Arabidopsis thaliana: one gene and its partners. The protein of the gene in region 3 binds, or shares a complex with, the protein of the main gene of each other region. Each region holds a gene or a part of one and is shown on either strand. Other genes may lie near its edges. The genes, in order: AT5G11350, AT1G73875 and AT1G61470.

Region 1 (11,324 bases), on a different chromosome or scaffold from region 3:
TAGTTACATGACCACACTCATATATACCATATATAGACGCATGCATGTTGGACATCTGAGATAGCTTAACCATAAATTGGAGATGTACGTTAGGATTACCCTCGACATTTGTATTCAGTATGTGTGTAAGTATTCAAATAAGTCATGTACCGACATAAGTCACTGATTCATTACAATTAGATTAATTCATGGTATTTGATATTGTATTATTTGAAACCACTAAAAATAATAATTAAGAAGAGACGATGGAATCTTTTTTCCTTTTCCTTTTTTTTTTCTTCTGAAAATCTTAAACTGTTTTCACTTTTTCTACTATATTTTATCTTGCAAGGCCATGTTAAATGTGATTTTGAAAACATGATATTTTTTTACATAATATCTTATCCAAAGTATGTAGGAGCTAAAATGAGCAACATTACGTAAAATCAGCAACTCGACTCCTCTCATGTCTTTCTTTAAACATTTGTGATTTTAATTTCAATTACAATTACTGTAGTATTACTAATTTTAGTTCCTACAACTATGATGTTCTTTTTAATTGTAGTAGTAAGATAAACAAAAAATAAAAAGAAGTTTAAACGATGGTCCACACTCCACATACCACATACCACATTCTTTACTAATGCATTTTGTGCGACGCATCACATGATTCACTTAGTGTTTTTGTTTTTCTCCAGAATGAACAACTGAAAAAGGTGTATAATACATATGTATAATTGTCCCAAAATATAATAATATGTCTAAAAATAGTATCCACCAATCACCATGTAAGAATCAACGGCTTCTGCGTTGACCATTATATTTAAATATGTCAACCTGTAAATAGAAGACAAAAGCGTCTGTAGTCCAACGGTTAGGATAATTGCCTTCCAAGCAATAGACCCGGGTTCGACTCCCGGCAGACGCAATTTTTTTTTTTTCCTTCCTTTTTGACAGTGAAAACAAATTTTCTCCTGCTTTGTGGATTCTAGGGTCACAAAACTGATTTTTTTCATCATTTTTATATAACTTGTATTTGAAGTATCCATAGTTTCTACATTAACGTTCCAAACAATATGTTCAAGTCTATTAAACACACAATTATTAACATACAACATCTCTCACATCAAATATTTATCACTAGATAAGGGGAGCACAGGAAAAGAATGGCATGTTTCTCTGCTCCAAACCAAAAACGCCATCTCCAATTCCGTCATGATCCAGACCTTGCTTGATACGCCCCAAACGCCTTGCATACAAAACTTGCTCAGAAACAACAGGCAATCTTATTCTCTGATATTCCTCAAGACCCAAACTTACATTCTCAGGTCCACAGTTCTCTAAGCATTTGCCTAGCACTTCCGCATCAAGTATCGACATGTTTGTGCTTCTTAGACCATGAGGGGTCGTGGGATGAGCCGCGTCTCCAACCAACACGATGTTTCCCCAAAAGATTCGTTCTAAAGGGTCAGAGTCGTAAATAACATTAAGGAAAGGATCCTTTGTTTCACTCATGAGTCTCGCTAGTTCGGGGATCCAAATGGTTTCTGCTTCTTGATGCATCTTATTGATCATTTCTTGACTCACTTTTAGAGTAACAGAGTTGCTCTGATATCGTAATTCCATAACAACAACAAAATAGAAATCAAGAAAACTACACTTGTAGACGCATCCTAATCAAAAAGAGAGAGGAATTAGTCTTCTTACTTTCAGGTCAGGCTCTGGTTGATTGACATACCAAATCCAGTTGAGTTTCTTGTTAAAAAGCTCGTAAAACACGCTATGAGTCTGTTCACCGAGATCAAAATACAAGCATTTTCCAAGATCCGGATACACTTTCTTAATCCCACTAACTGTTTCCGAGTTCTCATTCCCTGAGAAATCAAATACACCTCTCCAAGCACAATAACCAGAGTACCTTTCACATAAAACGAAAAAAACAAAATCCTATATGATCAAGTCCACAAAATATCGATAAATGAAGATCACACTCTTATTTCAAACCTCAGTTTAAAGTCAGGCAAGAAAGTTTTCCGAATCGAAGACAAACACCCATCAGCTGCAATAAGTAAGTCTCCTTCAATTTCAACAGTTTCTTGAGTTTCCACAACTAAAGTCTTAACCTTTACATTAGATTCATCTTGTGACATTGTGAAAGACAGAAACTTATGTCCCCAAAGAAACATGGTCTGAGGCAATGCGTTATACAGAAGAGATTGAATATCTGACCAATAAGCTGCTCGGAAATCAAAATCCTCATCTCTTGTTAAAATCCTTGTCACTTTCTTCTCACTATCAGTTGTCTGATTCTACAACAAACCCACAACACACAAAAAAAGTTAAAAACTTTAGGTAGAGCTGGAAAAACTAAACGCCGATTGTTTCAATTGTCGAACTAAACTCAGTGTTCTTATTACCTGATCAATCGAGAGAGGCAAGGTGATTTCATCTAAGAGCTGTGGAGTAGTAAGCCATGATTTGATGATCTGCCGAGCCTGAGGGTCGAGTCCGAGCCCAGCACCAGTAGGACTCCCAACAGGAGGTTCGGAAGATTTCTCGAGAACCAAAACATCCCAGCATGCTAACGTGAGCGAGTGTGCGCAAGATAAGCCTGCTATACTTCCTCCTACTATGATCGCTTTCCCTTTCTTCTTCCCCATCTCATCAAATCAAATGTTTCTTCTGCTTCACAAATTGTTAACGATAAGAGAGAGTTTCAACTTAATGAAACCTCTGGGTGGATAAGAGGATTAGAACTATGTGGGATGATTCCAGGCCCAATATTCCAAGCCCAATCGTTTGGTCATATAAATAAGAAACTGATCTCTGTTGTGCGTCAAAACTATGTATTAGAATTTCATTTTGTCCAGGCCCAGAATGAATTATAGGCCCAATAGTCTATTCTCTCTCCCACGAACATTATTTATAGATTTTTGGGTTTCCCCTAAATCTCGAGCTTTTTCTTCCCTTGATTTCTTTGGTCTCTGTCCGTACGACGTCGAATATCTAGATTGTTCGACGGCGATGGGAGCTGGGAGAGAAGTCAGCGTATCGCTAGATGGAGTCAGAGACAAAAACTTGATGCAGCTTAAGATACTCAACACGGTTTTGTTCCCGGTTCGTTACAACGACAAGTACTACGCCGATGCAATCGCTGCCGGCGAATTCACCAAGCTTGGTTCGTCTTCTTCTTACTTGATTTTTCTTAATTTCTGTCTCTCTTTGCTTTCCCCAGTAATTCCTGCTTAAATTTCTTAATGGGCATGTGCTATTACGATTTCACGGGAATGTGCCTCTGAATCAGAACTAAAATTCATCGAATTTTGGTATTTTTGCTCTCAGATTTCTGTCTTTTTACCTGAGCGAGCATTAGTAGTCGAGTTTGTTCCTTTAATAGGAAAAGTTTGCTTTGGGGGGTTTATGATGAACTGTTCTGTGATTAGGCTTGGTATACTCTACAAAGAAAGTACCTTTTGCAATCCTGCTTTCCTTTGGTTGTTTGTTTAGTTGGTTCACTGGTCATTGTAATAGGTGTGATTATCTGTGTCTTCTCTTTTGTTCGGTTCCGTGAATTTATTTGACTGAGCCATGTTTTATTTAGGTTCAGTACTAGTGTCTGATACTAGGAAGAAGATGATTTTATCGGTAATATTGGTAGAAGCCTTCTTTCTAAGCCTTGAATGGATCGATTTTGTTTGCTTTCTATTGTCTGTTGTTTCGTAATTACCGATTCATGTTTGAACTTTGTGGTTGATGACATTGATGTTGACAAAGTATCATCTTGATCGTTGTTTTAAGTTGTTTGACTATATGAATACTGCATTCTTTTGTTCAACCAAGCAAAATTTTTTGTATGTTAAGCATGTGTACCTTGTAATCTATCGCTGATTGACTTATATTATCTTTCGAGAACATGGTCCAAGACTAATTTTCGTATTCACAGAATTTTTTCAAGCTCACTTTTGTGAAACCCTTGGTTGGAACATCTTTTGCGTCAACTAGTTCTTTAAATGTACAATAAGATGTGATTATGAAAGTCTAAAGACTGTTAACAACGTCTTAAATTTGGTACTAACTATTTCATTGCAGTTGCTTGGGTAGTTATGTTCTTGGTGTTACATATATTTTCTCTAATTTGTGATCAAGGAAAATTCTTCATGTTCTAATAATGGATTGACTTCCTCTCAGCATATTACAATGACATATGTGTTGGAGCTATCGCCTGTCGGCTGGAGAAGAAAGAAAGTGGGGCCATGCGAGTTTATATAATGACGCTTGGTGTTCTTGCACCCTACCGTGGGATTGGCATTGGTAAGTCATAAATCTGCTGTGCAAAACTTGAATACCGACAAAACATGAATAATGAAGAAAACTGTTAGCATGTTGTGTAATTCTGTTGTTTTCCTTACGTTTTAACACATGAGGCCAGCTGTAGTATGTTTATTCTGTAGTTCTCTATTTGAAGTGTCTCCATTTAGAGATTCAAACCACCAAGAAATAGTCCTTAGGGTTTTATGCATATCGTTGTTTTACCGAGAAACTGGAATTATGATTCCTCCTATATCAAGATTTAAGATCGAATTCCCTGCTTTAGAAAGAAAAACTCGATGTCTATAATTTGTGTATCTTGTTTTTTTCGTCTTTTGCAGGCTCAAATCTATTGAATCATGTTCTTGACATGTGCTCCAAGCAAAACATGTGTGAGATATACTTGCATGTGCAGACAAACAACGAAGACGCAATCAAGTTCTACAAGAAGTTCGGCTTTGAGATCACAGATACCATACAAAACTATTACATCAACATTGAGCCAAGAGATTGCTACGTTGTCAGCAAGTCCTTTGCTCAATCTGAAGCCAACAAATGATGAAAAATACCAAACTTGGGGAAGCCATTCCTCCCCAGTTTCTTTGTTGCATTCAGTTCAAGATCTATTAATGTTATGATGATCCTTCGGTTTCCGAGTTTTGCTTGTTTTGTTGACCTTAATTTTTCTTACTGATTCTAAATTTATAAATTCCTGGTTATATACTTGCATGATTTCTCTAATGTCCTCTTGGCTTTGGACATTTTCGTTTGGAAAAGTTTTTAACTTTGCAACTCAAAGCTTTACTACCAAGTATCATCGTGTTTGTAAATGTTGGTCTATGAATTTGAGTAAAGAGAGACAATGATTCTTGTTATGAGCTGTAGAATAAAGTAAAGAAAAAAATGAAGAATTTATGACTTGCGTTTTGGCTTGCGTGCCATTTATTCACAGTGAAGACTGGAAGATGTGTTCTTCTTGAATCAAAAAACGGCACGTCTTATGAGTCTCCGTTCATCGGTGTCTGCAATTAAGCACCGGTTCCTCGAGCTTCCTCACTCAATTCGATTGACCAATGCGGCGTTCTCGTTTTGTTGCTCAAGTTTTCTCCGACGTTACCTTCGCTGACGCCTCCACTATCTCTGCTCCAATCTTCACCATGTCTACTCGTGCTCCGGTAAATTTTCTCAGCTATTCTCTTGTTCTATCACTCCCGCTGCGTTGCTTCGGTTACTGGAATATAATTTGTTTCTTACGAAGCAGTACAGAGGTGCCCGAGGACGAGGACGAGGCCGAGGTGGGAGAAGTTTCTCCGATCGTCCGTACAATGATGACGCGGGAAGAGATCAGTTCGTTACTGGAGATTCTCATTTTCAATCAGTTCATGACGCCAATTTCCGATTCCGGCATGGTGAACCTTATCGACAACATCAGCCTCCGCTTGATCAGCGGCAGCAACCACCGTTCAATCAGAATTACGAATTTCGACCTCCGCCGCCGTCACGAGGTCAGTGGCAACAATTCCGTCAACCTAATCAGTTTCCGTCTAATCAAAACTACGCGGCTTGCCCTCCCCCTCCGTTCTATCAAAACCAGATGTCCCGGCCGCCTCCACAGCAGAGCTTTCGTCAACGGCCACGGTCAAAACCTTCAGATTACCGTGAATGGGAATATGCCAAAACGCCACCGTCTCCTGGCTCCGGTAATTTATGCGTGACCATCTCATTTGCTCCGGTATACAATTTTTGATTTGCTTTCTCTTGTCTACAGAAAAGTTTGTTGTTTTATCGTATAATATATTGGCGGATTACCTTGCAAATGATCACTGGAGAAGTCTTTACTTTCACATACCGAGGAATATGTTGAGTTGGGGATGGAGAAAGAGCAAATTAGTGTTCGAGCTTAGCCTATGGTCTGCAGATATAATGTGCCTTCAGGTTATAGTTTCTGCTATATCTTCTTGGTAATTGCTTGTATGAGGGACTAAGGAGACAAAACTTTCTTGCTTTACTATTTTTTTATCATATGTATACAGAATGTATCTTCCATATGTATAGTAATCTAAAATTATTTTGTATATGTCAGGAAGTTGATAAATTTCAGGACTTAGAGGAGGAGATGAAGCACCGGGGATATAGTGCTATTTGGAAGGTAGGTTTGTTGAAAACTTTTAGTTGTCTTGAGTTTGTATTCTCTACGGACTCTCTTGGAGTAAAGATTAAATGGTATGCATCATAAGAACTAGGCTTCAAATGTGGGGTTAACTCTATTTTATAAAACTGTAGATGCGGACTGGTAATGCTGTTGACGGATGTGCAATATTTTGGCGATCCAATAGGTTTGATTCCCTTGCTCTTCCTTGTGTGGATCAGTCTGGAATCTTGTTTAGGATTTCATTGTTATCATATTAGATTCAAGTTGGTTCACGAGGAAAGCATCCAGTTCAATCAACTTGGTCTCCGAGATAACGTTGCTCAAATATGTGTGCTTGAGGTAATATGGATACCTTATGTTGATAGTGACTTATATACATTTGCCTCTTTGCCCTAAATTAAATTTGCTCTGTGTAGACATTGTTGACTTCACATACAAAAGAAAATGAGACCCCTCCACCTGAAAGGTAACTTAAAAGTATCTGTAAATGTTACTATCATATCATTTTATGGGTGGATAATTTCACTAGGAAGTGGCCGATTTTCTTCAGATTTCAGTGGTTTTCTGTATGGACTATACTTTGTGGGTGGGTTGAAGTGAATTACCAATTTCTTTTACAGCTCTGCTGGTTCCCATCGAGTTGTCATTTGTAACATTCACGTGCTTTTTAATCCTAAAAGAGGAGACTTTAAACTTGGTCAGGTACTTTCCTTTAATGCCATATTCTAGTTTGTAGAAATCTTTTGCCAAACGACAGTTTTACTCTCTGGTTTAACTCTGTCTATACGCTATGAACATGTATAAGTGTTAGGTGTTTGAGATAAAACTTTTGAAACCAAACGCTTCGCCCCTTGCTTAACTTGGTTTCTTTAACTGTTTCCATTTATCATCTATGTATTTATCTCTGTTACGTAGGTCAGAACACTCTTAGATAAAGCTCATGCTGTTTCAAAACTCTGGGATGATGCGCCTATTGTTCTTTGTGGGGATTTCAATTGTACACCAAAGGTAGGACAATCTTACCTTAACCAGTTTGTATACCCCAAAAAACTTGTTTTGTGACATGGTCATAACATTCTTCCACCTGGTTGCAGAGTCCTTTGTACAACTTTATTTCAGACCGGAAGGTAAAGCTTCATTGTTAGGAAAGTCCTTCACCTATTCGCAACATTATATATATGGTTCACATTGTGTCTTGTGCTGCTCTCTGCAGTTGGATTTGTCTGGTTTGGCCAGAGACAAAGTTTCGGGGCAAGTTTCTGCTGAGTTTCGTCCACCAAGGCCAGAAAATTATACAACGAGGTAGAGCAAACTCACCAAGTTCTTCGACATCATTAAGTATATGGTTATGCAACTTAACACCTCCATGTCTACCCTAGAATATCGGGTTCTACTCTGCTTTTGCAATTGTCAGCATGGTTGATAGGCCTCCTCAATTTTCCAGGTATCAGTCCGCCAACAAATCTCCACAAGGTCAAGTTCAACCACCAAATTTGATCACAAATGCTCATATGGAGAATAACTCCAACATAGATGTTGGAACGGCCCCCTCCGAGAAGACATCTGAGCTTCCATGTGGTGATACAATTCTTGCTGGTCACGAAGCCACCTCCAGCTCTGACCAAGTATTACCATGCGAGAATATGGCCTCAGATTGTCAGTTTGGAATAGAAAACAGAAAACCTGATGATTCCGGGAATCTCTCGACAGCTGAAGATCTTTCTTCACTAACCATATCAGATACAGAACCTCAACATGCTTCCAGTGCTAGAGAAGATTTGAATACAGATCGTTCTGTAAGTTCCGGTTTATCAGAAACAGAGCAAACTCCTGAGGAAATATGTTCCAGTGATCAAGATATTTCATCTAGTCTCTCCACCAAGGTTGACACTTTTGTGGCTGAAATGAAACTAGATGGCTTAAAATTGGACGAACCAGTAGTATTCGCGCAAGATGAAGAAAGTTTAGGTGAAGATGGGGAAACCTTTTTGGCTAAGCTACACGATAACAATGAAAACTTGAGTCAAAAAGGGGAACTTGTGAGTGAAGTTCCACTTAAATGGAGTTCTGAAGCTTTAAATAGTGACAAAATCACTTATAGTCCATCCTCTTGGACTCCAATGGAGATAGCAACTGCAACTGGTGACCCAGAGAGAACTACGGTTGAACATGCTCTGGAGCTTAAAAGCACATACTCAGAAGTGGAGGTATTGTAATATATCCTCCCTACAGTTTTTCCCTTTTATCTTCTGTTTCTTGAGAAATTATATCCTTAGGAAGCTGTTGAAATTTGTGGTTAGGGTCAAGCAAACACAAGGGATGAAAACGGAGAACCTGTAGTGACCAGTTATCACAGATGTTTCATGGGGACAGTTGACTACATATGGTATTAGCATTAGAAGCAAAACCATTTGTGACAAACCTTAAAATTAGATTACTTCATTATTGTAAATTATGCGCGTTTTGACATATTCTCATGTTTGATTTCTGGTTTGGGTTAGGCGGTCGGAAGGTCTTCAAACAGTGCGTGTGCTTGCTCCAATACCAAAGCAAGCAATGCAGTGGACTCCAGGCTTCCCGACTCCTGTAAAATCCCATGATATTCTTATATAGCCTACCTTTTTAACTGAATTGTTTACAAAACTTTTTTATGTTTGTATTTCTGGTTTGTTACAGAAATGGGGAAGCGATCACATTGCACTGGTTTCAGAGTTGGCCTTCTGCAGCAGCAAAACTCTGCCCAAAAGCTGATATTAAACTGGTGGTGAGTTCATTAGAAATCTAAGAAAGTGTAAAGAGATTAGATGGTTGAGGTCTTGGGTTCAAAGCACATCCTTGTTGCAATGTTTGTGCTCTGAAGGTCGCCAATAGCTTATTTTATATCCCAGCAAAACATCTAAGAGTAAACTTTTACAGAATCTCATAGGCTCTAGTTTTGTATTTTTCTCTATCATATTTTACAGTGACAAATTATATTTGAGTTTTTCTTTTTGGGCGACACTCGATTTCAGAAAATCTGCTATAAAAGTTTAAAGCATGCTTCTTGATTTTAAATAGCTTCAATTGTTAACCCCTAACTCTTTCAGCTTTAGTCTAGACTGACTCTTTCAATTATTACAAATAAACACCTAGCATTTATCCATGTCCCTGTGTCCAATATAAGGACATCTCACATTAGGACCTAATCCCTGCAATATAATTCAGAGCATCCAAAACTTCTTGCATCAATGGTCGTTTCTTCTTGTCCCGATTGGTGCATCTTTGGATGAGTGTGACAATCTTTGTGGCCGCATCCACAGGATAATCGCTTCCTATTCGGGGGTCGATTATTTCCCCAATCTTATAATTATCGGGCAAGAAAGACCCAGTCCAATCTGAGCTTTGATTCTTCAAAGCTGTTGATCTATCTTGTGAACCAACTAAAAGCTCAAGCAAGATCACGCCAAATATGTCCTATCAATCAATAAGTACACAACACATATAGAGACAAAAGAAAAATTTAAATATGTTGAGTAAAAAAAAAAAGACAGACTTTACTTACCACCCACTCTTGTAGAGCCTGTGAACTGCCATGAAGATATTCGACAACAGAAACAGGGGTACCGGTTTTAGTTCTTGATGGTGCAAATGTGGTGTTATCGATGTAGCCCTTGTAGAATGATCGAATATAGTGATCATCGCGAATTACGACCCTGTCTTGTCTGGATTTCTTCGTTGCTTTCATCCATTCCTTGAAACTGAAGACTCTCAGATTCTCGCTTTGTGCCTCCACTTCTTCATATTACATATATAGACTTGAGTTACGTATTTTAAAAACATTACATGTAAACAATTGTAAAGTGAATTTATAAAACAGAGATGTACCTGGAATTAGAGGGACGGTGAGAGGCTGGTAAGCAAAAGAAGAAGGTTGTTGCTTGAAAGGCTTGACAATGTTTCCCATTGTTGAAGATACAAGGGTTCAAGGCTTGTTTCTCAATCTCTTTGGCTCTCAAAATCGGAATGGAATTCACAAGATACTTACTTCTGGTTTCAAGACATCTTGTTGGATTTTAAAGAGGTCAAAAAAATTCAACGCTTTGAAAAAGTTATGTTGAGACAGAAAAAGAAACAACCACTATTGATGACAGCAGTACTAGTTACTAAGCTCGGGGAAAAATTCTTAAAATCAAGTAAAGAATCTCAGAAAAGTGGCAAGACTCAGTTTTAGTAAGTTATTGACTTATATTGCTTTAGTTGATTACAACTTTTTCTGTAAGACACAAGTAAACAATTTCAGAAAAAGTGTTGTCAATTTCAGTAAGTTATTGACTTATTGCTTAGTTGATTATAAATACAGAGGCTCTAAATGGAACTTTGAAACGTATAGGGCACAGAAGAACAGTTGTTATTTTTGAGTAAAAATGTACAAAAAGACAAAACCAAAAACGCGTTTATTTGCTTTCCTTCTCTTCTAGTAAGCTGAACTGAAAAGCTATTTGAATATATATTTTTACTCTTTTTTCTCTTTGTAAATTCTAATAATCGAACAAAATATAACGAATTTTCCATATAAAAACAAGTCATTGGTGATATATTAATTTGTCTGTAAAACGTATTTCATTAAGATTTGTGTTTTTTCAAGTTACAACTGAAAAAATAAAAATATAGCATCCATTTGAATTTATTTTATAAAAATAAATAATTCTTTATTAAATAGCAAATAACTTTTCTCATTTTTTTTTGTAAATATTCTCTTTTCTATACACTAAAGTCTTTACAATATCACATATTTCATTGATTTTATTTCATTGACTATGTAAAGATATTCATTTATATATACAATTAGTATTTTTTTTAATTGAAAGTTAGTACTAGTATGTGACTCTGTGGGTCGATCCATTGG
Region 2 (11,479 bases), 5.1 Mb from region 3:
AACTTACGAGAATGTTTTCGGTATATAGGAGAGGCGCCTAGTGATTCCTCCTCTGTTGCTCCACCACCTTCAAGCTCAACTGGTTCTCAAATCTCTCAAGGTGCAAAGAACAACTCTCGTGTCGCTGGTAAACCACTTTTTACCAAAGTTTTCAGTATCTGCTAAAACCAAAACATGGAAACAGTTAACATAGTGTTACTTTTCACTTTATCAGCTACTCCAGTGGCTCAAATGGCACCAAGACCCACCAGTTTTATGGGATTAGGTTATGGTTTGAAATCCTCTGGCTCCAAGTCTGAGATTCAGCTAACCATCTTTGCACTCGCAGCGATCTTACCCGCCGCTCTCCTCCTCATCTGAGTCTTTCTGCATTAACTACCATCTCGGTCTCTTCTGTTTTGTGTTTTCTCAATGAATCAAGATCAACTTTATAACTTTACCTTACATTTATAAAAGAAGAGATTATTGGAATGATTCCTAAAGAAGTTTGCAGTTCAGAAATGAAATCGGAAAACAGAACAATGAAGAACAATACTCTTCTTTTAACTTTGAATCTATAACATTATGAACACAACAAGCTCAAGATCAACTTGGAATATGGCTTTTTAAAACACCCCAATAGCAAAAAGTTTCAGTCTTTAAATTCTTTCTCTAAACACTGAACTGAAACTATTCCAAACTAGGAGCCACTTCTGTTGGGTTGGACTCAAACACATCTTCAGAGTTTGAACTCTCTGCTTCATCAAGAAGGTCACGAGATTGAATCGCCTCTTTATATACTGGCGTCTCCTTGAAATCCGTCGCACCTTCGTTATACGTCCCCGCCGCAAGTCCACCAGAGATTAGCTGTTACAACATTTTGAACCATAGTGAATTGATTGGTTTAACTTCAAAATTGGAGAATTGTTATAAAGCAACTGAAAAGTACAGAAATTTACCGCGAAAAGGATTCCGAAAGCCCACAAGTACTGAACGAAGAAACCTAGACCATCCCACTTCTCACCTTCAAAAGGATCTGGTTCAAGTCCAGGAAGATCCTTAATGGCAAATTTCGGCGCATCTTTCGGATCACCTCTGAATCGAGTATTCACCACCGTTCTATCTCCATCTTCGTCGTTGATAACGATCTGAGACGGCGGGTTCTCGCCGTCAAAACCTTCGTTTCCCTCTTCCTGCTGTTCTTAGTCGTTGTAGGAACGAGAGTCCGACGCTTCTTGCTGTCGAAACGACCGGTCTGTGTGGAAGGTTTTTTGGCGGCAGAGACAACGTGAAGACCGGTTCTTGATGGATTAGGGAAGTTTACGAGTCGGAAGGTGGAGAAAGGGTTACGAGAAGAATCGGTGAGGTCGTTGCAGCGGATTCTAGCTCCTCCGCCACCGCTGCTCACGGTGAGAGCCATTTCCTTTGTTGTGTGGATATGTGAGAGAGGGAAGCGAAGCCAGATTCGAAGAAGATAAGGAAAACAAAACATTCGGGTATTATTAAACTTGACCCGATATGACCCGACCCGACCAAATTGACCCGATTTGTTTAACAAAAATCACAAACACTTATTTATGAATCACAATCACAAACACTTATTTATCATCTTACAACAATTTAATAAAATACACTCATGCATATTTTTTTAGTTCGTGAGGAACATACTGTATTAAGGAAAAAAAAACCATAATTAGAATTTTGTTTGACTAAATCAAATCATTTGTTTAGTCCTAAACTAACGACATGTTGGATAAATCCATCTAAATCATTCACTGAGCTCCCACGTTCTTGAATCGCATCCAACGCTGCTTTCCTCAGCTCCACGGCTTTGATCCTCTCCGTTTGATTTCCGGTCACGGAATCAGCGAAAACTCGAGCTAACTCGTCCGGGTCAGGCACCGTGTCAGGTCCTTCGCAAGCACGCACACCTACTTTCAACTCATCAACCACCAGAGACGCGTCAGTGTACTGGTCAGCTCTCATCGGCCACGTCAGCATCAAAACGCCGGCGACAACCGCCTCCACCACAGAGTTCCAACCACAGTGCGTTAAAAACGCGCCAACGGCTCGGTGACGTAGCACAGCTACTTGTGGAGCCCATCCTCTGATCACCAGACCTCTCCCAGCCACGCGATCGTCGAAACCGTCCAGGATGTTGCCACGTGTTGAGTCTTTCTCAACGGGCTCCTTTACGGCCCATATGAAATGGACGCCGCTTTTCTCAAGCCCAGAGGCGAGTGCAAGAGTCTGCTCTTTAGTCAAAACTACTTGACTTCCAAAGCACACGTACACCACGTGGTTATCCTCACGTGCGTCAAGCCACGACATCACGTGATCAACAGAAACAGAAGTCGGGCCACCACGGTTATCCCCAGATAACGGAATAATTGGGCCTACAGCCCATACACGATCATGGCCCATCTCTCGCTTAAGATGTTCGAGATAAACACCTTCCATGGCGGTGAACGAGTTCACGACGAGTCCCCAACTCGCCACGTTATCTCTAAAGGAGTCTCTTATGAACTCCCAAGCTGGATCTCCGTGAACGTAACTTCTGTAAAGAGAGGAGATCTGATCAAAACGGTATTTTGGACAATTCGGGATCTTGGGAAAGTGGAGGATCTCGTTATCGTCATCTTCGTTGATCTTGGTGGGCATTTCGATCCAGAGAGTATTGAGTATGCAGCAAGTGATAGCAGCGGAGGGAGAGAAATCGAAACGAGGGATTCCGAGGTTTTTGGTCCAACCAAGGAAGAAATCAGATACGATGGCTACTGGAGGAGAAGGGTGAGAAGTAATCCAAGAGATAAGCGGCGCGTGGAGATTACCAAGCGCGTGGATCATTAAAGGGAAGCCTGAAGGAGGTAAGTCTTGGACGTTTTCGACGCCGGAGGGGATTGAAGGGTGGGAGGGAAAAGGGAGGATAAGTGGTTCGATGTTAACTACGGCGGAGAGAAGCGGAGAGAGAAAAGGAAGGTTTTTTGGAGTGACTAGGACGGTTATTTTTAAGGCGGCGCCGCCGCGGAGAGCAAGGCGGTGGGTGAAGTCGAGGAGGGGAATCATGTGACCTTGCGCCGGAAATGGGAAGATTAAGACATGGGTCTTTGTCGGCTTGTTGTTTTCCTCGTTCACTTTCATAATGAGCTTTTCTAGTGGGACTTTTTTTTGTTTATGCCGGAATGTTTTGGTGGAGCAAAGAGAAAAGAGTGATTTAAATAGATGTGTGTTAACTGTAAATGGCCGATTTGTGTACCCAATGTATTCCCAACACTTGGAAAGAATGCTTACGACACTTTTGATAATACCGTGTGGTATTTTGATTAATGCAGCGTCAGATGACACTTGAGAAGAGCTTATTTTGGAGTGAACAGATTGAGATACTTTTTACGCAACGTCTCTTACATTGTTTTGCTTCTAGTAGCAAAATGGGTCTTCGCTCCTCATAGGTACACGTCCAGTAACATGCTATTTTGGTATTAACTTTTTAAAAGCAGAAAGAGTAGGTGCAAGTCTTGGGTAGGTAAGGTAAAAAAAAATGTTTCAAGTAAGCAAATCTATGTATGGGAATGAGCCCAAAACTTGTTTATGTTTTACAATTTACTGAATCTGTTTCCGAACTCCAATTCAGAAGCCTCGATGAGCATTCAAAAACCTCAAGGGATGGCCAAGTCAGGTGGCTCGGTTTAGTGGTTGGTGCTAACATTTTGGCTCATTGCCAGTCATTGACAAAGCCGAGTTCACATGCGATAGCGAGATGGTCGCTTCCCCAATTCTGCAAATTTTCATTGGTCAGAGACTTGTATGCAACTCTTCCAATAATCCCAGTTTTTACATTCTTGAAAAAATGAATAGAGTAACTCGAGAAAGTAAAGGGTTGCCCCAGAAAAAAAGTTTAGCCTAGAAAAAAAAACTTACCTCACTAGGTAGTCCACCTGTTCTTCTCAATACATCTGCTGGCAAGGTCTCAAGAACCCTCACAGGAACGAGTTCCTTGGTATGCCTGGGTTCAAAACCTCAGATTAATTATTGAGATTTCAAAATTACATGTGCATATATCACAACATTGATAGCCATATATAATTGAAAGCTCTGATTAATGATTCGGATTTCATAAGCACAACAGACTTACCATATATAATCAACAGTTCCAAGGAACCTGGAATGATACGTTGTTGCCAATGGTTCACCGCGTTGATCTCTAGTTCTATATGTACCCTGCAAGATCTCAGGTCTTAGCATACTAGAAGGATATATAACATCATACAACATGCTACTTTCCCTAAACGTTTTTCAGTATCTAGTATAAAAGAAAGCCACAGTTCCTAAGAACTTAGTTTTCCTGTAAGGCAGATTTCAACTCTTTTCGATGCGTCCACCAGTCGAGAACAAGAAACAAAAACACTTACAGGAACTCCACTATATGCGCTGTTAAGCTTCAGTTGATGTTGGACATGAGTGGTTTCTTGACCACCAGTTGCAAGCTGTAATTCTTCCTGGCTCCACTCATTGAGTAGTGATCCGGAGATGGATGCTGAAGCACTGACGAAAGAGGGAGTTGTTTAGTTAGACTAAATTGAGATAGAAACTTCATCTGAGGATTACGTAGTTGATTAAGCGCAGGCCAAAGAAAAATATAAGTAATCTATCACTCTATCAGTTCATCAGGTAAACAGAAGAGATATAAGCAATCTATCCGTTCATCAGGTAGGCAGAAAAGGAATATGGATACATTATTTAGAGAAACCAAAGACCCCGGTGAATTACAAGCTACCTAAATGCATAATGGTTTCTGAATGACCTCTCCTTTGGTTCCACTTCAGTCTGGCCAGAAATTTGCCTGCGATCGTGAAGTTGTGTATCCAACTGTCCAAAATTAAAAAAGGAATATAAAGAGTTCATTCTAACTTTCCCAGTAAAGAAAGGAAAAAAATTATGACCAGGCGAAATGTAAAAGAAAGAGTCCAGAACCCTCAATGGAACTCACATCAGCTGAAGCTATGAAATCATAGATTGCACTCTGTACAGCAAATCCAGAGTAAGTTTTAGAATTCAGCTAAAAAATAAGTATTAGAACAAAAAAAACAAAAGTTGGTAGAGATCACCTGTGGAGTGCTATTCAGATCACCTGCAATCGCCACAGGAATATTTCCCCATTCCTGTGATAGCTTGTAAGCCTTCTCCAGAAAGAGTCTTACCTATAAGTTATGACATATCAAATATCAAGAAATGAGCGAGCTACTTAGAATTTCAATGAAGTTTCAATACTGACAGGCATTGATGTACTGATGAATACCATAAAATAGTACTAGCTAAAAAATTGACATTTCTAAACTCAGGATGTGTAGTGACAGAAATGCTCTACCGATTTTATGGATAAGCCAGTTTTTATCAGAATTTTGTAAGGATCTAGCAAGACATACCTGGCCAAGCTTGATATCCCCACGCTTAGGATTGAATAGGACATGTATATTCCCAACCACTAGCCTTCGAGGACTAGTAGAAGTTTGCATAAATCAACCAAACATGGAAGTGCGCATAAAATTTAGTAAGGATCTTAAAAGTAAGTTCAATATTCACTCCAGTAAAGGAATCAGAACAGAACTCAGACATACTCTGATGATCGCACCCGTAATTTAGACTTTGGGTCCTCCTCACAGTTCATCTGTTCCGTAATAGACAATCAAGTAAATTAATTAATTGCAAGGGCTGAAACTAAGAAAATTAAGCAATTAGCCTGCAAAGCTGAAAACACAACAGGAGGGAAAAATATATAAAATAATGCCCACAATTAAGCTTGTCATATCTCTGTGCTTCTAGAATCAAGAAAAGACAGAGGAGAAAAGAGGGGGAAGACGACAATACAGAAATAACTTAAAACGGTGCATACCTCTAAAACACAAAGTTGAGCAACATTGTTTCGCATACCAAATTTATCAAACTCTATATGTTGATGGTCTAGAAGTTCAAATCTGCATTCACAGCAGAAATATAACATAAATGATGAAACTAGTAGAGTAAGAGTCTAATACAAAATAAATAACATCGAGAACAATAGAAAGCAAAGCTTTCAGCCTTGAACAATATATTGTGAAGCCAAGGTCAAAGCTGATAACATAACACAACGTGAACCTACCATTAACAATTTCGAAACATTCAAAACAGATAACTAGAAGATCTAATTTATCTCGTTCCAAAAGAGAGATATTCCCTGTAGACAATTCAAATGGCTAGATTCCTGATCCTGACTCCAGCATATAGAGACTTCCCACCACATTAAAAATGATCCTAAATAGAAAAAAACTGAACTTACAGATTCTCTTTCCAAAATATAGCACAACCATCACTCGCTTCTCCAGTCCGACTCTAAAAAATACTAAATGTATGAAAAAGGCACCATTGCATACAAGGTAATAAAGCTTTTGACTCGTATATATACCTTGTGAACACCTCGAAATCCTCTATTTTTAAGAAGAACATCTAAATCATCAAAGCGGTCAACCTCCTGCAATAAATTTGGACATGAGAATGCAATGAAACTTAAATAGTGTAGATCTAGGCAATCCCCTGGAACTTGCCTGAAGACATAAGATGCTTGCATTGTAACGACTAATCTCCTTGCATATGAGATGTTTCCGTCTACTCCACTCTAAGTGCTTCCGCGGAACATTGTAATACAAGTCCATGTGGTTCGACGCATTGTCAACACCAAGTAGATTGTACGAAACTAATACTAATTTATCTGAAGAATTGAAAAGGAGATATCAAGTTTTTCATACACATAAGATAAAAATGTGTTCAAAGTACGGAATGTGATACTTCGTGAAGCTAATAAAAGCATATAAGTGCATTATTCAGTGTGATTGCAATGCACACAGACCTGCTAGATTTTCAAAATTGTTTGCGGAAAACACCCATTCGCGCTCAACGGAACTCGAGATCTTCTCCTTAGTTCTCCGTCGCCGGCGGAGAGAAGACTTACTATGTCTGACAGGTTTACAATCACGCTGGCTGAATCCCGGCGTAAAAGAACGGTGAGGTTTTAAGGTTATTGACTCCTTCCTATTCGATTTCTCGTATACGTTCTCCGATTGTTCCGAAATCGAGTTACGCTTCCGCTTGGTGATGGTGATTGAGTTCGCCGTCGTGTTCTTACGCTCGTATCCGCTCATGTCAATCGTAGCAAGTCGGCGGCGCGTGAGCTATGCGTCAACCTTGTGAAGTTAACCAAATTCAGTCGGTTGAAATTCACGATTTTTACTGGTTAACGATTAAAATACGTACTTGATAACCCAAACCGGTTGGCTTAAGTAGTTGCCTAGTTGGGCTCTTTATGTTGGTTTTTTTAATTGTGTGATGGGCTATTCAGCCATAACTAGGCCTTAATGGCTTTTATTTCTTGCTTCATTTGTAAATTGTTGGAAATGGCATGTTCTAATTTGAACTTGTTTCTTGTTTTTTTTTTGTTTTTTTTAATTACACTTGTTTTCTTTGTAACATGTCTTCGCTACGAATTTTTTAGTGTTCGTTATTATCACACATTATGGCTTTTTTCTCCAATTCATTTGATAAACAAAGAGTTTTCATTTGATATATACAATAAATTACTCAATCAATCAATCTATAAAATCATAGTTGCCGGCTACAAGTCTACACAACCATCGGCCCCAAGAGTTTCAGTTCATTATTCAGTACATTACGACAATTACTTCAAAGGTCTTAATTACAAGATCTTTAAAGTGTTGATTAAAGTAAATCAAATCACGTCAAAAGTGACGTCCTCTTCACGAAACGACCTTTGATTCGAGGTCTCTGCTCAGCGTTAAGTTTCCGAACCTCATATCTTATTTTCTTTGAGAACAACCTCGTCCTCCGCTTCTCCTTGTACCTCAAAACCCTCGCCTCTCTCTCCCCGTCCGATCCTCCTCCGTCTCTCCCTTGCTGACGTGTCACCGATCCGTCGCTCGACATCAATTTCTCGTACCCACCCACAACATGAGGCAGACACGTGTTCCCTCCCAACTGGATCAGTGAACTTTATAACGTTATTTCGTCTTTTATAATCAATATATATCAGCTCAAAGTCAACGGAACTCGACACTACTAAAGACTAACATAGAGATGAGAGATATAGCTAGAGACACCAACTTACCATGCACTCCGGTTTGATTCCGGTTTTCCACGGCGAACCGTGATTATCCCAAGCACTAATCACAGCTCCATAATCTAATCTCAGAAACAAACTTGTCTTTCTATCTTTATCATTTGATGCTTCTCTATCACTATCCTTTGATCCTCCATTTTCACACTTGGCTTCTTCTTCTTCTTCATCTTCATCTTTCACCCTCTTCAAATCCTTACAATTAATCTCAAACCCTACTTTATTCTCTTCTTTGATGACTCCAACATCGTTTGGTTCCTTGAATCCCAAGCAAAGTTGTTCTTCCTCAAGTAAACTCTCCACGTCCATAGTGAGATCCTCAAGATCCATATCCAATGGCACGAACCCCATAAAACCTTCATCGTCCATGATTGCCTTCTCGACTTCTCCTAATTCTCCATTAGTAGTAGTGTTATTGACTTCATCAGGAACTAAGCAAAAGCCGTTTATATCATCAATCAGCATGTCTGAGAAAGGATCGAAAACAGGCACGCAACAATTCAGACTCTCCTCGGTTTCTTCTACGGAGGAGAACGAGAAAAAGCCATCATCTTCGTCTCCACCAAGCTCCGGAACAAGAGGATCGTTTGACTCGATTTGCAACAACTTCTCAAACGCACAACTCTTGCTCCTAGGCGTTCTCGCCTTTCTCCTGAATCCTTCGTACCATACCGACGTCGTTTTGTCTGCCGTCTCCGTCGGCGAAGATGATTGTAACCGGACACGTTCGTGCCGTTTCGCTAAATGGTTAGCCGAGTGGATCGAGGCGTCGCAGCTTTGGCATAGGAAAGCGTCATCGGCTGGACAGTACCAACTAGCACGTGATCTCTTCATGCACGCATCACAGCCACGCGCCGCCATCTTCTCTCCTGTCACGCTCGCGGTTCGGCTCTCTACATCGACCACCATTGTGTGTGTATATTACACAGTGAGAGAGTTGCTGAGATGGAGAGAGAGGCCTTGAGAAGAACAAAATACTGTAATATATATGGTTTTGCAACGAATTCACTAGTGTGTGTGGCGTCTCGATTTCCCGGCAGTATTTTTCATTTTTTTCAGAATTATTATTTTTTCATTACCTTGTGTGGTCTAAATTATTTGGAGTGGAGATAGAAATATAAATAAAAACTCATAATTCTATTCATAGTTTATTATGTACGTGTACATGGTATTTTAGAATGAGGACTTTTCACGAGTTTTTTACTTCAAATTTACAATTTTTGTTTTCATTATATTACGTACTTTCAAATAAATGTTTAGAACCATATACTTTTTTTTTGAAAAATTAGAACCATATATATACTTTATTCTTAAATAAAATTTTGAACCAATATGTCTGTAATTTTGCGCTCTCTCCGTTTTCATGATATAGTAAAATATGATCCTCAAATTCTTAATTACGATCTAACCGCTAGTTCATGTATGGTACTAAACTTCATCATTCTTTTCGGAAAATAAGTCATAGTGAAATACAGTTTGGTGAAGACACTGTTATAGATGGTGTTTTTTTTTCGTTGGCAAACACTGTTGAAGATGGTTAATATCAAATAATAAAATTGATCTTGTTGAAATATTAAAAGACAAAAAAAAATGAAAAATTTAAGTTCTGTGTAAAACTAGCTATTGGTGGTTAGTCAAGAGGAAACTTATAATGGAACCCACTGGTGATCTGATTCTGCCTCCTTATTGGTTGAAATATACTGTCATCTCCGTTTTTGCACTCTGATTGGCTCAAGTTCTTCCATGGAGATTCTTACGTGGACCCCACATTTTCAAGTTTTGTTTTGAAACTATTTTGTTTGTTGGTGCGTTTGCATGACCGCAACGCAGCGTGATACTTTAAACGCAGGAAGTTACTTTTCATCTTTTCTTTTCTTTTTTTGTATAGCAAACGACATTCTTTTTTGGAACTTCCAACAACACCTGTGAAGTTTTGTAGAACATTTAACATCCAACTTCTAATGTTTGATGATAGAAAAAAGGATTATATGTCACTAAAAATGTAAAATTTCTGCTTTTGTGATCTTAGAGATGGGTGTTTAATCAGCACCTAAAGATTCAAATGGGTCCTAAATTTAATTATTATCATTTATTGTGGATCTAACATAACGGAAATGATATGAGTAATGGAATTCTAGTCCTTTAAAGAAAGGAATTGATTGTGGTGATATAGCGACGTGACAATATATACAAATCAAGAGGTTGTGACTTCATCGAATTTTTGGCAATTTTGCAGTTTACGCCAAAAGAAACAAGGAAACAAACAATTTTACGCCACATGACCCACGAACAATTGAACATCTCTCTATCATAGGACTCGTTCCTCTGCTTTACACCACCATTTTATTTATATTACTTTATATGGAATTTACGCAAGTTATGTGACATGATATACAAACCTTAATTATATCACCATTCACCACCAAGTTGAAATCTGCACATTTTTGTGATACATGTGTAGAATTAATAATATAACCTATTGACGAACGAGTGAATTTCGGAAGTGGAGGCACAATAGGCCTTGATTGATATGAGAGACCACTTGCTAACATAGATGCGGGAAATCTTTTTGCTTTCATACGTCCGATTGCTCTGCGTTGAAGTGTGATAGATCGGTACTTGAAACAGTTAAAATTATCCCAACACTAATTAATAAGTATTAAGTAACAACAATAAAAACAAATATTCCTATATTAAAGCTCGATATGATAAATAAATGTATCACTACAACGTTTTCCTTAAATCTGAAGTATTTTCTTGTCTATTTTGAACGAAATTAAAGATCAATTTACCACTACTATATTTTTGGTTTTGTTTTCATAACCTATGGTTTTAAGTATAAAGTATGCTAACTCTATAATATTGTAGACGGTGGAAGTAAAGTACCACAACACGACGTGTGCCCAAATCATACATGATACATATTAAAATGTTCCGTTGGTCGTCGTACCCCAATTATATGTTACAAGTTAATCGTTTCTTAATCCAATTTATAATCTGTTAAAATACTCGTTAATTTTAGGCAAGGATTTGCCACGTGTAATAAACCCGTATAAACGATTGGAGAAGCCAAAAAAGACTTGTTAATTACTGCGCGTCCTCCTACATTCGCGCTCTCTCCCTCCGTACAACAAACAAACCCCAATTTTTTTTTTCCTACTCTGTATAGATAATTTTTAATCATTAGAGAAAAATTAATCGTTTAATTAGTTTACTATTATCCGCTAATAATAATCAAAAGATCAAATCAACCCACATTCCCATCACGTCTATTTTCTCCGTCTCTCTGTTTTCTTCTCTCAGGTTTTAGACCTCCTCAACGCTCGTTTCCAAGCTTTC
Region 3 (8,357 bases):
AGCATAGACATCAACTCAAGTGTGTTTGGTCTGTCTGCAGGTTGGTGTTGAACACAGAGAAGACCAATCTGAATACATCTCTCAACTTCTAATGGGCGACATGAATCAGCAACATCTTTATCCAAAAGATCAACTCCTCCAGTTTCACACCAAGATTCCCATGCCTGTTGTTTGATCTTAAAATTATAAAAGCAAGAAACGATTTGAGATATTTGCAACTGTATACCTAAAGTCGTACTTACATATGCAATAAGGGTTTTTTCTTCTTTGCCATAGCTGAATCTTGAGATCTTCTCTCCGCTTATGATTTCTAATATATCCTCTGGAGACATATATCCTCTGCACATATATCAAATAGTTTCTCCCAAGTTAATATCTGATTATAACTTTGAGTCTTTAGTCAATTATGTTTTTGAAATAGATTCTTACAGAGTTCCTACGACCCTGCGAGTATTGTCCTGATATTCGGTTCCCTGATACATCCGAGCCAATCCAAAATCTGATATCTTTGGATTCATCTTCTCGTCAAGAAGAATATTGCTGACCTTCAGATCACGGTGAATTACCTTGAGGCATGAGTCACGATGGAGATAGTGAATTCCACGCGCAATACCTTGAATGATATCAAATCTCTTTGGCCAGTCAATCTCAAGCCTTTTTCTTGAATCTAAGCAACAATACAGCGTGAAAACAATCAGAAAAGACAATTCCATATAGAGAAAAAAAGCTGCCGATAGTAAAGGAATGAGGCAAGAAAGAACCCACCGAAGAGAAAAGTATCAAGGCTTTTGTTCAACATAAACTCATAAATCAACAGCCTCTCTTCTCCTTCAATGCAACATCCTAAAATCCGAACTAAGTTTTTGTGTTGTAGTTTTGAGATGAGTACTATTTCATTCATGAACTCCTCTTTGCCCTGCCCTGAGCTGCTAGAAAGCCGTTTTACAGCAATTTCTTTCCCATCTTGCAGCTTTCCCTAATACAGATTGCAGAAAGTCATTTCGAGAACATAAGCGGAAAATACAAAAGAGCAAAGAAGATTAAAATTCTCCAACCTTGTAAACTGAACCAAATCCACCTTGTCCCAGTTTATTTGAGAGACTGAAATTATTGGTGGCAGTTTGAATGGTGTTCATCTCAAACAAATATGAACCTGAGACATCTTGTGGTTCCAAATCATATTTCGGTGCATCTTGTGAAGCTAGAATTTCAGGAATAGATAAAGAGATAATAATAAGGCCATGAATATGAATAAAAACAATAAGAGATCGATATAGAGCTAGTAAGATCATCAGAGTGTTACCATTATGTTTAACTCTGTATCTCCAGAAACCAAACGCAGTAGAACCCAATATCAGAAAAAGAGAAAGGCTGACAATACTAGCAGTAATGGTCTTCTTGCGCTTATTCCCACCTGAGATATAAGACAAAAATAAATTGAACAACTAGCCATGCTGCTACCGGAACGAATAGTATCAATGGAGTTCTAGATAAAGTTGTAATTGAAGAAGTAGCTCTTTCTTGATATCATTTAAGCCGTACCTAATTCAGAACGTGCAAGACGAATGGAAAGAATCTCTCCTCCTGCAGAAAATTGCACTGTGTCCATGAAGTCTTGGTTCCATATTAAGCACCCAATTCCATGAATATAAGAAAAGGCCAAGCAAGAACAGTTGTGGAGGCAAATTTTGTAGCATCCTTCTGCATCCACAGCACTTGCAAATTCGTAAAAGTCTGGAGGCTTTATGTTGGCAACTGGATGGAAGAAGTTTGCATCTTTTTTAGTTGAGTTTTCCTGACAATGTAGTTTGGTACGCCTCACACAACCATCAGTCCAATTTCCTCTTTTCCACTCCTCAATATATTTTGGTATAAACCCTTTGAAGCATTTACACACTGACTTGACACAAATCCCAAAAGGTCCACATACACCGTAATAATCACATGAGTGCGCTGGAGCCACAAAGTTCAATACCCAATCAGTCCCACTATGCCTAGAAATCTCCAGTGAACCCTTCGATGTTATCACTATACGTGGAAGTTTGAAGTTTCTGTTTAAATAAGTAAGGGATCCTGACCCGTTTGCATCTTGCTAAAGGCTTAATGGATTTGTAAATGAATCATCCATTAGTGGTACCCCCGTGAACCTTGTTTTAGCCCATGGACCGCTTCTCCAATAAGGCTTCGAGCCTCTCATAGTTAAAGCTTGTGTTGGCACTTGCGTTGTAATCTGAAGCACAAAGTCACCAACCGCTGGATTAGTGTAACTTTTCCAAGAAGTCAAGACCTGCTTCTCGCCAGTGGCGAGGTTATACATCAGAGCTGAGAAAGGAAGCATAGTATCACCAAGATGGTCAAAGCTTTGCCAAAGAGTTCTTCCCGAAAAATTGTCTATGACAATAAGATTTCCGGTGTCTGAAAGCTCTGCACGAGACCCGTTAGAAGCAAGAGTTTCACCACTGGACCATGCAACGCCATGTTTTCCATTATATAACAGAAGACTTGCGTTGCTGCTGATAGCGAGATTTGCTGTGGAATCTGTAACAGGATTTTCTCTATTGGCCACCCACACAACCACCCGGGGAATGATTCCCTTGAACCAGATTCCAAGATAATGATTTTCCGAGTTATTAAAACTGAAGAAACCCAATTCATAAACTCCATTAGAGGAGCTGAGAGTTTGTCCTATTGACAAAGGACTCTCTTTGTTTATCCCTGCAATTGCAAAGCTAAAACTTATAAAGATGGTATTGGTAAATAAGAGCAAAGAAGCAAAGAACGTGATCCTCATCGTCCCCGTTTGTTTGTTTTTTTCTTTCTCCAATAACTATCTTTTTTGGATTAGTGTGTATGAAGCAAGAGAGCCGGGGAAAAAAAAAACACTGTGTCTTGTCAGAACTACTTTACTTATTTTCCAAAAATATGCATTATTTAATAAATACATGATAGATACATTGGCACGAAGAAGTCATTACCGTATCAGATACGCAACGTTTTCATTGTTCCAGTCCTTACTAGCTTGTTAGGCCCAGAAGAACCTATATTTTTCTTGAACTGCAGACTATGAATTATCTCGTTTAGGCATTTCCTCGAACACTTGCAGTGCATAACAAAAAGTCAGAGCTTCGGTGATGTCTTGAAGACCTTAATGACCCCAATCGATTGATTCGTACTCCAACCATATGGGCTTAACTGTCACTATCCAAAAGCAGCCGAATAATTCAACAGTCAAGATTGACTTGTGTCAGTGTATGACAGGTTGCTTGACTTGTGTCGTCAAGCCACTAACCCAGAGAAGAACCTTCCGGGAAGACTTAAAATAAAGTCTTTTGTCAATTTCGTGTATTTCGGGATGGAAAATTAGACTTTAATTTGTAATAGGAATTTAATTCGGTTTAGCGTTGAAATCGTAAACCGCTTCGGAAACAAGGCTTTTGAGTTTTGAGAGAGAAATTAGAATTTAATTCGGTTCGGGCAAGGAATTTAATTCGGTTTAGTGTTAAAAATTGAAAACCGCTTCGGAACCACGCGTTTTTTTGTTTTTGAATTTTAAGAGAAAAATTGAAAACTCGTGTTTAACAAGAATTAGGAGTCAAAAAAGTCAACACGAACTTTTGATGGAAAAAAAATGAAAACTTTATAGTATCCTAAAAATAAGGAAACTGAAGTCGGTGTCTTAATCTAATCCCTATAAATTCTCTAATAATATAACGCCAACCAAATAAAATTCATTTGTTATCTCACTTTCTCTTTCAGATAAACAAACAGTTTCTTAGTTTCGTTCGAGATGAGCGGTGAAGTTTGGAGATGGAACAAGCAAGCAGAGATGAATTCGATAAGAGATTGTTTGAAACATTGTAATTCCATCGCTATCGACACAGAGTTTCCCGGATGCTTAAAGGAGACTCCCATGGACGCAAGTGATGAAATTCGTTATAGAGACATGAAATTCAATGTGGACAACACCCATCTCATCCAGTTAGGGTTAACGCTATTCGGCAAAGGAATCACTAAAACCTGGGAGATCAACTTGTCAGATTTCAACGAATCTAAGAGCTTGAAAAATGATAAATCTATAGCGTTTTTAAAAAACAATGGTTTGGATCTGGATAAGATCAGAGAAGAAGGTATTGGAATCGAAGAGTTCTTCATGGAGTTTTCTCAGATTCTCAATGAGAAACATGGAAAAATGAGATGGGTGACTTTTCAAGGCTCTTACGACAAAGCTTATCTACTTAAAGGTTTAACTAGAAAACCATTACCCGAGACTTCGAAAGAGTTTGATGAAACCGTCCAGCAGCTTTTGGGAAGGTTTGTTTATGATGTGAAGAAAATGGCTGGATTATGCAGCGGACTAAGTAGCCGTTTCGGACTACAGAGAATAGCGGATGTGTTGCAGATGAGGCGTGTTGGAAAAGCTCATCACGCTGGATCAGACAGCGAATTGACGGCTCGTGTCTTCACTAAGTTGATTTTCGATTTGGTCAATAGTAGAAAGGAGAGTACTGGAAGAAGAGCTGATGATCAGCAATATCAACTAGAGCAGCAGCAGCATCAGCAACAGCTTATGATGACTAGATGTTACATCCCGATACCGGTCCAAGGAAGGAACTACGTATTGTGATCCCTCAATGTTTAGCATGTCTTGTTGCTAGTATGCAAATTCTTTCTTTATATGCTTAGGATTTAACTTTCAGCTTTTATTGTCCATCAAAACAATTCTCTCAATATTATGACTATTGCTCTTTAGTAAATACTTTAATGAATCTAAAGTTAGAATCTACTCAAAAGCCTCTCATGTAACATCTTTGTCTTGGAATTACTATCTATCAGTTTCCTCCGAATTGAGCTGAAGATATGTAACAAGCCCAGTTTTTTCCTTTTTCGCTATACACTAATCAAAATTTGGAATCTATGTGAAATATTTTGTTAGTACCAATTATGAGTTGTTTTGGTTGGAGTGTCACACTTTTCTCCTGTGGACTTGAGTTTCTTCTTCACTTTTAATACGTGCAAATTCAATCATGGCTCCCTTATTTAGATTTAAGGCATTGACTAATTCTACTTTTATACTATGAGGATATGATAGTATCTAACCAATGGAAACCCAAAATTATGAGCTCATTTGGCTCTGCAGATAAGCTCCTCACAAGATTAGACAATTCTGCTGGAGAACAACTGGAAATGCAAACTCTATAGTAAATCATTGGTCAACCAAATTGGAAGCTCATCTATAGTAATTTTCTCTATTTACTTAAGTGAAAAATCTTTTACAAAAAGCATGAAAGGTTAAGTTATATACATTCGAAAACTGATTCCTTTCGTGAACAATCAAACACACATTCACTCTACAGGTTTCATCACATAATCTCTTACCGCCCTAGGATCATAGAATGGGTCATCTCATTGACAGTGATCAACCTCTTAGACGGTGATTCATCAACTACCGTGTTCACTACAAATGTGGGTTGTTTTGGTGGTGGAAGATCTGATGTTGTGGTGAGCATGGACAGCAATTCAAGTGTGTTTGGTCTGTCTGCAGGTTGGTGTTGGACACAGAGAAGACCAATCTGCACACATCTCTCAACTTCTAATGGGCGACATGCAACATCCCAAAATCCGAACTAAGTTTTTATGTTGTAGTTTTGAGATGAGTACTATTTCATTCATGAACTCCTCTTTGCCCTGGCCCGAGCTGCTAGAAAGCCTTTTTACAGCAATTTCTTTCCCATCTTGCAGCTTTCCCTGAAACACATTGCAGAAGGTTATCTGGAGAGCATAAGCAAATAATAGAAAAGACCAAAGAGGTTATAAATAAAAAATCTCTGACCTTATAAACTGGACCGAATCCACCTTGTCCGAGTTTGTTTGATATACTGAAATTATTGGTGGCATTTTGAATGGTATTCATCTCAAAGAAATTTAAACCTGATACATCTTGTGGTTTCAAATCATTCCTCCATGCAACTTGTGAAGCATCCTTTGATATCTTAGCTGATTATAATATAGGTCATCAGTGTGTTACCGATAGCAAGATATGAGTACTGTAAATAAAAAAAAACAAGAAATCAATAGAAAGGTAGCAAGAACATCAGTTTGTACCTTTATATCTCCAGAAACCAAACGCAGCAGAAGCCATTATCACAAACAGAGCAAAGCTTACAATACTAGCTGTAATGATCATGTTACGCTCATTTGCATCTGAGATTTATAAGACAAAAGAAAAATAAACAACAAGTCATACTGCTACCAAAGAGAACACTATCATCGTTTAATTGACGGAGTAGCTCTTTCCTGTTATATGTACCTAGTTCAGAACGTGCAAGACGAATGGAAATAATTTCTCCTCCTGGAGAAAATTGCACTGTGTCCATTAGGTCCTGGTCTACTTGCTCTGATCAGCTTTGAAACATAACATACCGAACGCTTTCAGCGCACTATTAAATCCTTAGGAAAGCAAACTTAAGTACTAGAGCCTCGTAGTTTTAGTTCTCACTCCATTTATATTAAGCATGAAACCTCTTCATTGATCCCTTTGATGTAAATTTCTAAGACGTGTAATACGATTTTCAAATGACTACTTCAAAAAAACACAAAAATATGTGATCAAATCAGAGAACTTTGAACAAGAGACAATATTGGTGGTTTTAAAAGTGATGGTTTGAACTTTGAACAAGAGAATATAAGCCAAAAATAATAATAACGTACGCAGGGGAACTAATTTCAAGCACCTATTCGCAATGTTGACCACAAGAGATGAGCATAAGGTCAGCAATATTGACTGATTCAAAGCTGCAAAAATAGCGGTTTATAAAGTCCATGGATATAGCTCAAAACGTCAAGTGGAGGAGGGGGAACCTAGACGAGAACGTTAGACTGCTATCATTAAACGTTTCTTTTTCATTGAGCTCACATAACAACATTGTCATTTTCATATCCCTGTTAGCTAGCGTGTTAGGCCAAGAACCTAATGTACAATCCAAACATTTCAACTGTAAAAATTTTCCATATCACACAGTTTCTTAACGCCCAAGGATCACAGATTGGGTCATCTCATTGACGGTGATCAAACCCTGAGACAGAGATTCTTCATCTCTCGTGTGCACTACAAATGTGGGCTGTTTTGGTGATGTAAGATCTGATGTTGTGGTGAGCATAGACAACAACTCCATTGTGTTTGGTCTATCAGCAGGTTGGTGTTGAACACATAGCAAACCAATCTGCACACATCTCTCAACTTCTAATGGGTGACATGAATCAGCAACATCTTTATCCAAAAGATCGATTCCTCCACTTTCACACCAAGATTCCCATGCCTGTTGTTTAGGTTTCAGGTCTTCAGAATGTAACAGCAAGAAACATTTTTGAAACATCTACAAGTGTATAAAAACCTAAAAGCCTTACTTACATATGCAAGAAGGGTTTTTCCTTGTCTACCATAGCTGAATCTTGAGATCTTCTCCCCGGTGATGATTTCCAACAGTATAACTCCAAAACTGTAGATATCTGATTTCTCAGAGAACATCCCAGTCCATGCATACTCGGGAGCCATATATCCTCTACACATATATCAAATAGTTTAAATATGATTATAACTATGAATCATTCACAAGCATGTAATTAAAGACATGTTCTTACAGAGTTCCTGCAACCCTACGAGTGTTGTCCTGATATTCGGTTCCCTGATACATCCGAGCCAATCCAAAGTCTGATATTTTTGGGTTCATCTTCTCATCCAGAAGAATATTGCTAACCTTAAGATCACGGTGAATGACCCTGAGGCATGAGTCACGGTGGAGATAGTGAAGCCCACGCGCAATGCCTTCAATGATATTAAATCTCTTAGGCCAGTCAATCTCAAGCCTTTTTCTTGAATCTAAGCAATAATACCGTATAGAAACGATCAGAACTGACAGTTCCATGTAGAAAAAAAGCCGCTTGTAGAAAAGAAATGAGGCAAGAAGGAACCCACCGAAGAGAAAAGTATCAAGGCTTTTGTTCAGCAAAAACTCATATACCAACAGCCTCTCTTCTCCTTCAATGCAACATCCCAGAATCCTAACCAAGTTTTTATGTTGTAGTTTCGAGATGAGTACTATTTCATTCATGAACTCCTCTTTTCCCTGTCCGGAGCTGCTAGAAAGCCGTTTTACAGCAATTTCTTTCCCATCTTGCAGCTTTCCCTAAAACAGATTGCAGAAAGTCATCTCGTGAACATAAAGGCGAATACATAGAAGCAAAGAAAAGAAAAAAAATCTCCTACCTTGTAAACTGAGCCAAATCCACCTTGTCCTAGTTTATTTGAGAGACTGAAATTATCAGTGGCAGTTTGAATGGTATTCATCTCAAAGAACTTT

Evidence for each region.
Region 1: AT1G61470 (region 3) and AT5G11350 share a complex: the UniProt entries of both Arabidopsis thaliana proteins name them as parts of the CCR4-NOT complex.
Region 2: AT1G61470 (region 3) and AT1G73875 share a complex: the UniProt entries of both Arabidopsis thaliana proteins name them as parts of the CCR4-NOT complex.

What each region holds. Positions count from the first base shown.
Region 1 is NC_003076.8:3,616,223-3,627,546, forward strand, and holds AT5G11350 (DNAse I-like superfamily protein), read left to right. Parts: upstream 1-5,296; 5' UTR 5,297-5,360; coding exon 5,361-5,462; intron 5,463-5,545; coding exon 5,546-5,987; exon of another isoform or gene 5,988-5,994; coding exon of another isoform or gene 5,995-6,055; coding exon 6,056-6,222; intron 6,223-6,370; coding exon 6,371-6,436; intron 6,437-6,570; coding exon 6,571-6,623; intron 6,624-6,696; coding exon 6,697-6,778; intron 6,779-6,855; coding exon 6,856-6,905; intron 6,906-7,059; coding exon 7,060-7,141; intron 7,142-7,354; coding exon 7,355-7,447; intron 7,448-7,533; coding exon 7,534-7,566; intron 7,567-7,652; coding exon 7,653-7,741; intron 7,742-7,883; coding exon 7,884-8,646; intron 8,647-8,739; coding exon 8,740-8,825; coding exon of another isoform or gene 8,826-8,832; intron 8,833-8,940; coding exon 8,941-9,025; coding exon of another isoform or gene 9,026-9,052; intron 9,053-9,115; coding exon 9,116-9,190; downstream 9,191-11,324. Other genes in the region: AT5G11330 (FAD/NAD(P)-binding oxidoreductase family protein), read right to left, coding at 1,120-1,587, 1,687-1,897, 1,984-2,288, 2,397-2,639; AT5G11340 (Acyl-CoA N-acyltransferases (NAT) superfamily protein), read left to right, coding at 3,004-3,157, 4,168-4,290, 4,629-4,846; AT5G11360 (Interleukin-1 receptor-associated kinase 4 protein), read right to left, coding at 9,614-9,892, 9,981-10,213, 10,304-10,382. UniProt on the Arabidopsis thaliana protein: Acts as a catalytic component of the CCR4-NOT core complex, which in the nucleus seems to be a general transcription factor, and in the cytoplasm the major mRNA deadenylase involved in mRNA turnover.
Region 2 is NC_003070.9:27,776,784-27,788,262, reverse strand, and holds AT1G73875 (DNAse I-like superfamily protein), read right to left. Parts: upstream 7,409-11,479; 5' UTR 7,152-7,408; coding exon 6,860-7,151; intron 6,722-6,859; coding exon 6,558-6,721; intron 6,485-6,557; coding exon 6,419-6,484; intron 6,346-6,418; coding exon 6,293-6,345; intron 5,952-6,292; coding exon 5,870-5,951; intron 5,645-5,869; coding exon 5,595-5,644; intron 5,476-5,594; coding exon 5,403-5,475; intron 5,178-5,402; coding exon 5,085-5,177; intron 5,000-5,084; coding exon 4,967-4,999; intron 4,846-4,966; coding exon 4,754-4,845; intron 4,522-4,753; coding exon 4,389-4,521; coding exon of another isoform or gene 4,305-4,388; exon of another isoform or gene 4,198-4,304; coding exon 4,112-4,197; intron 3,983-4,111; coding exon 3,898-3,982; intron 3,755-3,897; coding exon 3,692-3,754; 3' UTR 3,343-3,691; downstream 1-3,342. Other genes in the region: AT1G73890 (Bifunctional inhibitor/lipid-transfer protein/seed storage 2S albumin superfamily protein), read left to right, coding at 29-127, 215-360; AT1G73885 (AT-rich interactive domain protein), read right to left, coding at 555-601, 681-846, 939-1,180, 1,276-1,399; UGT89B1 (UDP-glucosyl transferase 89B1), read right to left, coding at 1,699-3,120; BBX16 (B-box type zinc finger protein with CCT domain-containing protein), read right to left, coding at 7,741-8,001, 8,132-9,049. UniProt on the Arabidopsis thaliana protein: Acts as a catalytic component of the CCR4-NOT core complex, which in the nucleus seems to be a general transcription factor, and in the cytoplasm the major mRNA deadenylase involved in mRNA turnover.
Region 3 is NC_003070.9:22,674,398-22,682,754, forward strand, and holds AT1G61470 (Polynucleotidyl transferase, ribonuclease H-like superfamily protein), read left to right. Parts: upstream 1-3,694; 5' UTR 3,695-3,787; coding exon 3,788-4,624; 3' UTR 4,625-4,905; downstream 4,906-8,357. Other genes in the region: AT1G61460 (G-type lectin S-receptor-like Serine/Threonine-kinase), read right to left, coding at 1-164, 243-339, 430-667, 766-976, 1,056-1,201, 1,304-1,414, 1,543-2,051, 2,148-2,791; AT1G61475 (ATP binding / protein kinase), read right to left, coding at 5,373-5,570, 5,659-5,769, 5,831-5,994, 6,103-6,201, 6,308-6,374; AT1G61480 (S-locus lectin protein kinase family protein), read right to left, coding at 7,023-7,316, 7,409-7,559, 7,639-7,876, 7,973-8,183, 8,264-8,357. UniProt on the Arabidopsis thaliana protein: Ubiquitous transcription factor required for a diverse set of processes. It is a component of the CCR4 complex involved in the control of gene expression.